Linked DNA regions of Canis lupus familiaris. The protein of the gene in region 1 interacts with the protein of each later gene in a pairwise test. Links are inferred from orthologs where the notes say so. Each region holds a gene or a part of one and is shown in the gene's direction. Other genes may lie near its edges.

Region 1 (4,088 bases):
AAGGAAGACCAAAAAAGTACTGCGAATTAAGTTATGACTCACCAGTGCTTGGGAGATGCAGCCAGAATTCAGAGATGTTCCAGAATTAAGTGTTCCTGGATCTCTGGCTGGAGATGTTTCTTAACCTTTGTTCTGGTCCCACAGTTATGTTTGCTTGTGAAAACGCATGACACTGATCACCCATGGCCTGTGACCTCTCCTAAATGTGTGGTACACTCAAAGATGGGGTTTGCATTGAAAACAGGTCAAACCTATACAGCTTGGAATGGAGAAGACCTTATTTGGCCCCAGCACTGGGCAAGGCAATATACACAGTTGGCACTAAAGTAGTGCTGAATGAACAGACAAATGGCTGGGATTGGGACACAGTAATAATAGGGTGGCCTCTTCCTTTTGAGGTCTCCTGGACAGATGCTAGTCCAGAAAGATTGATTTCCAGATGAGTGGGAGATACCCACCCCAAAGCCACTCATCTGACATTTTCAGATGAAGAAACTGCCTAAGGTCACACAATTTAGCAAATGCTACCATTTGAATCCAGGTAGCTAGGCTCCAAGATCCATGCCTCTACTCATTACATTATATATACTGTTTGGGGAGGACCACGGTGTGAAAATTAAGAAAGGGAAACCTTACTTAAATGGACTCAGGATGTTAGAAGGGGAGGCTGGTAGAGGAAGCCTACAGCACAATGTCTACTGCAAAAAGTTTCAGCTACACACCCAACAGAAGTATCTCAACAGGAAAGAATGGTCAATTATAGGCCCCCAACAAAGGAAAGATGTACATCCTATCTCCTTTAAGAAACTGACTACTCCTGCAACTCAGCCAATGAGAAACCATCATCAGTATGAACTCTTGCTGTTGTCCAATAGATTTTTGTTCCAAACCCCTCCCAACCTCCTCCTTCTCCATAACATAATGTTCTCCTTTGTTTATTGGACTTGCATATGGTTTTGCCATAACTTGCTTGTTCTGCGTTGCAATTCTCAGCTATTCCTGAATAAACTCATCTTTTGCTGGTAACATAACTGGCAGTTTTATCTTTCAAATTGGCAAAGGGATGTTTGCCCAACACCCACATGCTCCTACATCACCCCCTCCAGATTCAGTCGGGCCTTAAGCCATTCTTATGGGTTGGACTAGGCTCCTGGGAATAGGAGGGTTTTACCTTTTGGGGGAGACTGGGAGCACGCAAGGACCAGCATCTGACTGTGTTCTAGAAGGAATAAGGGAAGGAAGAGGATGCGTGGTGGGACGTATGCTGCTGATTGTTCCAGTCATGGTAAGCAGGAGCTGATGGAACTTCAGACTGACCGTCTATTTCTCCAACAAGCTCAGAGCTAGACTGGCAGGTGGACAGAACAACCATCTGCTTAACTGTAATCATTTGGTTGACCACATAACTCATGTGCCAACAGGGAAAGGGGCGCTTTGAGGAACTGACAGTGCAGTTGCCTGATGGTAGGAGGTACTGAATATCTAACTAAATTATGCCCACCTGGGACTGGCTGGGACTGGTGGTCTGATAGTGTAGAAGACAGGCAGCCTCCCAAGGGACTGACAAGCTGGCTGACTGGTGGTGTGTGCTGTTGCTGCTGCCTGGGCGGCGGGATGTTGTGCGTGGCTGACTATTGCTAGGAGTCACATCTGGCCTGAGGGAGTGTCTGGATGTTACACTGTCTGATGCAGTGTAAAGGAGGGCTACCCTGAAGGAATTTCGGGCTGACTGAGGGACAGATCTGTGACTGCCTGATAGGCAACTGTATCTGGTGAGTGACTGTCCACCCTGACCACATAGACCATGTGTGGTCAGTCAGATGCTGAGAATGGCTGCCTGGCGACTGACAAAACGATGAAGAGCAGTGAACGACTCACAGGCCATCTGACCAGTTGAAATACCAGTGTAGCTGCCTGACTGGATGGCTGTATCAGGTTGGAATCACAGCCGCCTGGAGGGAGCCCCACGGAGACTGACCAAATGACTGACCAATGGTGGGCATACCTCGCTGAGAAGTGACAGACTGCTGACCCACTGTCAGGTGGCATGGAGGCTTTAGTTGCTGTGACTATTTCTTTGAGGGAATAATTGCCTGATCATGGCGTGAATGAGGAGTAACCTGAGGGAATTAAATATTGACCAACACTGGACAGTGTGACTGCCTGAGAGGGCGACATCAGATGACAATGACAGCCTGTCCTCACCTAATCACGGCCCACCTGAGCCACGGCTGGTGGCTGTGAGAGGCTTTCCCAAGGGGGATTCAGGGCTGCCCCCAGAGCAAGAGATGGAGAGACCGGCTGCTTGACTGTGTGAAAAAGGGGCAGCCAGAGGGAATGATAGGCCGGCTAACAGTGTAGTTGTTAGGAATGCGTGTCTGCCTTAAGACTCGCAGCTGGCCACGAACGGATGCTGCCGTTGACTGACAGACCCTGTGAATGGGGGTGGGGGACCGGGGTCTGACTAAACAGTTGTCTGTGGTGATGGACCCATTGTCTGATTTAATTCTGGGGACTGGCTGAGCAGCTGTACGTGGTGACAGTCCATCTTGGGAGTCACGGCCAGCTTGGGGTTAAAATGTGGTGACGACCGAGTGACGGTGGTAATTGGGGGTCTGACAGGACGGAGAATCCCCCGTGCGGCCGGCTGACAACGTGATTGGCTGACAGCGTGACAGACAGACCAGCGTACGGGTAGGGCCTCCGGCAACCTCAGTTGCCGCCGCTGCGGCTGCCGCCCAGACGCACTCTGGGAAAGCGCTGGCGAGCACCCGCCTTCGGGACCGAGCGGGGTAGCGGGGAGGGGTCCGGTCACGGCTCGCCGGTTGGTCCGCGCGGGCTATGCTCGCGGCGCCGTGCGGCCAATAGGCTGCGCGTTCTCGGCCACGCCCGCGCGAGCTCTCTTCTCGCGAGGCCGGTTAGGCCCGAATGTCGTTAGCCGTGGGGAAAGATGGCGGAAAATTTAAAAGGTGAAGCAGTGGCGGTAGCGGCGCCGGCCTGCTGGCCGGGCCGGGTGGGCTAGAGGGGTGGCGTCGCGGGCTTGGGGCCCCGGCGTCTGAGGCCACGGAGCCAGGAGCCGGAAGCTTGGCGCGGAAAGGATGGGGCTCTTGGAACCCGGGCCTGGCGCGCGGGGCTGGGCGGGGCTGAGGGGAGGGGGCGCGTGCCTCCGAACGCGGCGGGCGCGGGGCTAAGTGGGGACGCGGCAGGGGGGCGCGCGCCTCTGATCGCGACCAGTCGGCGCGCGCACGCGCGGGGGCTTGTCGGGGAGGCCGCACCCGCGCGCGGGAAAATCGGCCGCCAGTGACCGTTACCCGGTTGGTGTCCACGCGAGACGCCGGAAGGGGAGGGAAGGGAAGGGGACGGACCTCCTTTTCAGAGTGGGGGACAGAGGACTCTTCATGGTGAGGGTATCTCCTTTCCGCGTGATGGGGAAAGGGTTTGCTGTAGAGAAGACTCCCCAGGGAAGAGGGGAAAGGGGGCTTCTCTGATAGGAGAGCTGGACTCCCTCGTGTGTAGGGAAAGAGGGGTGACTTTTCCAGTATGTTGGGGAGGGTGGGCTCCTCTGGGTGAGGATAGCTGCGGGGAGGATGGCCTCCACAGTGTGAGGGGGACCTCTGAGAGGTAGGAATCCACCTGTGGCCAGTGCGGAGCCAGCAGCTGGAGAGGTTAGTTTGGGACCACTTTAGTGGGGTTTCAAATGCAAGTTAAGGGGCTTGAAAGGGAGAGGCATCATAGGGAGAGGAAAGCGTGGGCACAGGCTGAGTCTCCACTAGGCCTGCCTCAGTGGAGGGGGGGTTGTGCACACGAAATAATTTTGCAATGCTCTTGTACGTTTTCAGGTTGACGTCTGCAGTATTTCATTAGGAGTTCAAATGTCTGATTTTTTTAACGGGAGGTAGACGATATTAAAAATAGGATGAGTACTGACTGCATTTGGAATTAGTGTTCAATGGAATGATTTGATAAAATGGCTTTAAAGCACATTGTGCCTTGAATCAGAAGTCTTTTTCTTTCCTTTAAATCGGCGTCTTGAAAATTTCTGATAGCACCAGAAACATTCCAGGTATATTTAAAAGAATTGTCAATAA
Region 2 (3,651 bases), on another chromosome or scaffold:
ATAAAAGTAAAAAATAAAATATTTACTAATTTTTTTTCTAATTTTTTTGTTTCAAAGATAGCACTTATTTTTAAACTTTAAAATTCTTTTTTAAATTGAAGTGAAATTCACATAGCATGCAATAAACCATTTCATTTTATTATTAAGGATTTATTTGAGAGAGAATGAGCACGTATGCATACATTGTTGGAGAAGGGCAGAGGGAGAAGGGAGAGAATCACAAGCAGACTCCGCTGAACAGGGAGCCTGACCTGGGGCTTGATCTCAAGACCCTGAGATCACAACCTGAGCTGAAACCAAGATGCTCAACTGACTGCGCCTAGACGCAATTAACCATTTTAAGGTGTACAGTTCAGTGGCATGTATATTCTCTTTTGAGTCTATTATTTCTACATACTCCAAATAATTTTCATCTTTTTTTTTTTTAGTTCAGTTTATTTTTTTTAAGATTTTATTTATTTATTCATGAGAGGCAGAAAGAGAGGCAGAGACATAGGCAGAGGGAGAAGCAGGCTCCCTACGGGGAACCTGATGTGGGACTTGATCCCTAGACCCAGGATCATGCCCTGAGCTGAAGGCAGATGCTCAACTGCTAAGCCACCCAGGCATCCCTATTGTTAAGTTTAAAACGTGTGTTTATGAAAGTTTGGTTTGATTTAGTTACTTTAATTCTTCTGATCTTTAGCTCTCAATCACTAGCATAAGCCCTGTTCCTGCTTCTCTTTTTTTCATGTGTATATTTTCCATCTGTACACACACACAGACACACATATTACCCACCCCCCCAGCTTCCAATCCTTTCATTTATTTCAAGGTTATGAAGCCTTTTGTGATGAAGGATGTATCATACCCTTAACATTTAATAAAATAAAAGCATAAGTCCACTTCAGAATTTTCTAGTGTCCCTACCATAAGCATCTCTATTTATCTTCATTCTACTTGATACCCATCTTTCTAGAACATTAGTTCTCAGCCCTAGCTGTACATTAGAATCGCTAGGGGTGGGTGAGGGGCTTAAAAAAAAAAAAAAAAAAAAAAGACCAAGTACCCAAGATACACCTCAGACTAGTTAAATTCAGACTTCTCTGGGTTGGACCCTAGACATCAGTATTTTAAAAGACTTACACAAGTGATAGAGAAAATGGGAGATCAGCTTTCCAAAAAGAATTGAAATAAGAGTGAAAGATTGGAGGCTAAAAGTGAAAGTGCACTCTAGGTTTGTGTCTATCTCTTTATTTGCTTCCCTGGTTAATTTTATTTTTTGCAACCATATTTTTAAAACTACTTTGTTTTGGTGAGGTATGTATATCATTATGATATACTGTACTGATAAGGAATTTGAGAATGCCTTCTCTTCTCTAAGGAGCTAAGACCTGGTTTGCTCTTTCTTTTTTATTAGTCCTTTGTATTCTGGCTTTTGTTGTTTGATTCATTTTCTAGCTAAGTAAAGAGACCAAAAAACAGCACAGCAGAAGACTTGGGACTAGCCATTTGTGACATACGTTGTGTATTTCCTCAACCTAGGGTTTCTCTCCTTTCAAAAAGGAGCAGTCTGGCTTAGACCTACTGGCCGGCATAGAGAGTTTCTTTCCTGGGCCAGGTTCTGATGCTGCTGACCTTGAAAACAACCCCCACACGTCCCTTGTAATGTTCATCTAGGGTCCCTGACAGCATTCTCAGCAGTGCTGGCGGCTGTCAGGTAGGCAGCCAGGAAGATAGGTGATTGTATGTTTTAAAGGTACAGGAGGGGATTGCGTTTCTTTCTTTAGACCACTGCAGAAGAAATTTGTTAGTCGGCATTATGCCTGATTTAAGATTACTGCCTGTGTGATGATTTTAGCATTTTCCTCGCCTCGGCTCCTTTTCAGCAGCTTGAACATTTTTCTTCCCTTCCCTCTCTATGTGGCAAACTGTTTTCAGCCGCCAGCTATGATTTACAACTCAGTTTGTGTGCCAGCATTCCAGCTGTGAGCAGCTGTGTGCACATCTGGGAACCTCCTCCCCTTAAGCGCCCCCAAAAGAGGCAGTGTTTTTAAGTCAGTATCTCCCCTGATCCGTGCATGGAATTTCCTTCCCAGTGTTGGTTCTGGTATCTTTGGGGACCACCTGGATCCTGAATACTTTGTATCTCTCTCTCTCAAAAAAAAAGGGCAGAGTAAATGTCAGATCAAAGAGATTTTATTATGAAAATCGGACATCAGAGATCTAGTTCATTTGGGCAGTCTTTTTAAATCTTTTTTATGTTACCACTAGATAAGCTTGCATTATCTTCCATAATAAGGTTTTTAAAATTACCTGGTTTGTCTAAAATTTCACTGTTTTGCTCTCATCAGTGCCATCACACCTGAATAGGACTCTGTGCTCCTTGTCTTGATTGCATGATTGCATTTTGACCAAGTTTGAATAATCTAGAAAATTACTGGTTTGTTTTAAATCACTCTCCAGTTCTGTTTTCTAGTGCTAACAGCTCATGCATATCAGGAGGGGTTAGGCACAGACCAGGGCCTCTTCTCCAAGTGTGTGGGTATTGTGCAGTATGTGAGCTCTGAAAGAGATTTGCTATTTTATGGTACTGCCTTGAATCATTCTTATCTCTGTTCTTTCATAAATATAAACGACTGTGAAAAATATTAAAAATACTGGTCAGTGTTAAGGTAGACTAAATGTCTAAAAAAATTAAGATGGAGAAGCGGTACGTTTGAGTTTATAAAATGAAAAAGGGTTTAGTTCGGGTAAGCATGGACTTGTTTATCATCTCGGAAGCAACAATTGAGAAGTAGTCAATTCATAATATCAAGGAGATTAGATTAGAAGGTTAGATGAGTTCCTAGGTGATGCCTCCAGAATATCTTAAGGGATATGAAAGAGTTTTAGGGGCTGCTTGTAATCCTGTGAAAGTGTAGTAGAAGGACAACTGCATCTAACAAAAATACTTCTTGGCGTCATTGTCACTGGCTGGCCCAGTATTGTATTTCTTAAGTTCTAAGAATTCTTTGAATTTGTGACAAAAATGAACTTAGGTTGGGCTTTGTTGAGCTGTGAAACTTTTTTTTTTTTAACTCTTCTCCAGACTGTAACCTTTTCTTTATCTTCTATTTATAGCAGAGCAATGATATCGCTCGGGGCTTTGAGAGAGGACTGGAACCAGAAAAGATCATTGGGGCGACAGATTCCTGTGGTGATTTAATGTTCCTAATGAAATGGTGAGAGAGATTGGGCTTCACTGTATAGTTGTGTTTCTTTGCCAGTGGCTTGAATTTGTATAGAAGATAGGGAAGGAAGGCAGAGTATATCCCGACTAAGAATTTTGATTGTCAAGAATCTTTGGTTTATATCACCCATTAGTATTAATGGAAATTATGGTTGGGAGTGGATTTAAGACATTCTCAAGCCTTGGTATTAAGCCAAATTATTTTAGCCCAAATACCTAAGGTAGCTTTGAGGTAGGAAACGTATAGACATGACCTAACCATTTATTTACACAGTTCTGAATCATTTACCGTTAGACCATGAGCCTGTGGCCATGAGATAGGAGTTGAGTGAGGCTTTCTGGCATCACTAAGGATCAAAACAACTGAATAATGTCTAAAAGCGAAAAATCATCTCAACAGAGAGCATTTACTAATACTAGCCAAAGCGTAAATAAGCGTA

Evidence for each region. The genes of interacting proteins can lie anywhere in the genome.
Region 2: the proteins of SUV39H1 (region 1) and CBX5 interact in binary tests that used the Homo sapiens proteins (3 or more experiments, as listed by UniProt). The link is inferred for Canis lupus familiaris from reciprocal best matches to the Homo sapiens genes SUV39H1 and CBX5.

The regions. Positions count from the first base shown.
Region 1 is NC_049260.1:42,096,550-42,100,637, forward strand, and holds the start of SUV39H1 (histone-lysine N-methyltransferase SUV39H1), read left to right. Parts: upstream 1-1,188; 5' UTR 1,189-1,245; coding exon 1,246-1,285; intron 1,286-2,796; exon of another isoform or gene 2,797-2,950; coding exon of another isoform or gene 2,951-2,969; intron 2,970-4,088. UniProt on the Homo sapiens protein: Histone methyltransferase that specifically trimethylates 'Lys-9' of histone H3 using monomethylated H3 'Lys-9' as substrate. Also weakly methylates histone H1 (in vitro).
Region 2 is NC_049248.1:45,611,099-45,614,749, reverse strand, and holds part of CBX5 (chromobox protein homolog 5), read left to right. Parts: intron 1-3,102; coding exon 3,103-3,203; intron 3,204-3,651. UniProt on the Homo sapiens protein: Component of heterochromatin that recognizes and binds histone H3 tails methylated at 'Lys-9' (H3K9me), leading to epigenetic repression. In contrast, it is excluded from chromatin when 'Tyr-41' of histone H3 is phosphorylated (H3Y41ph).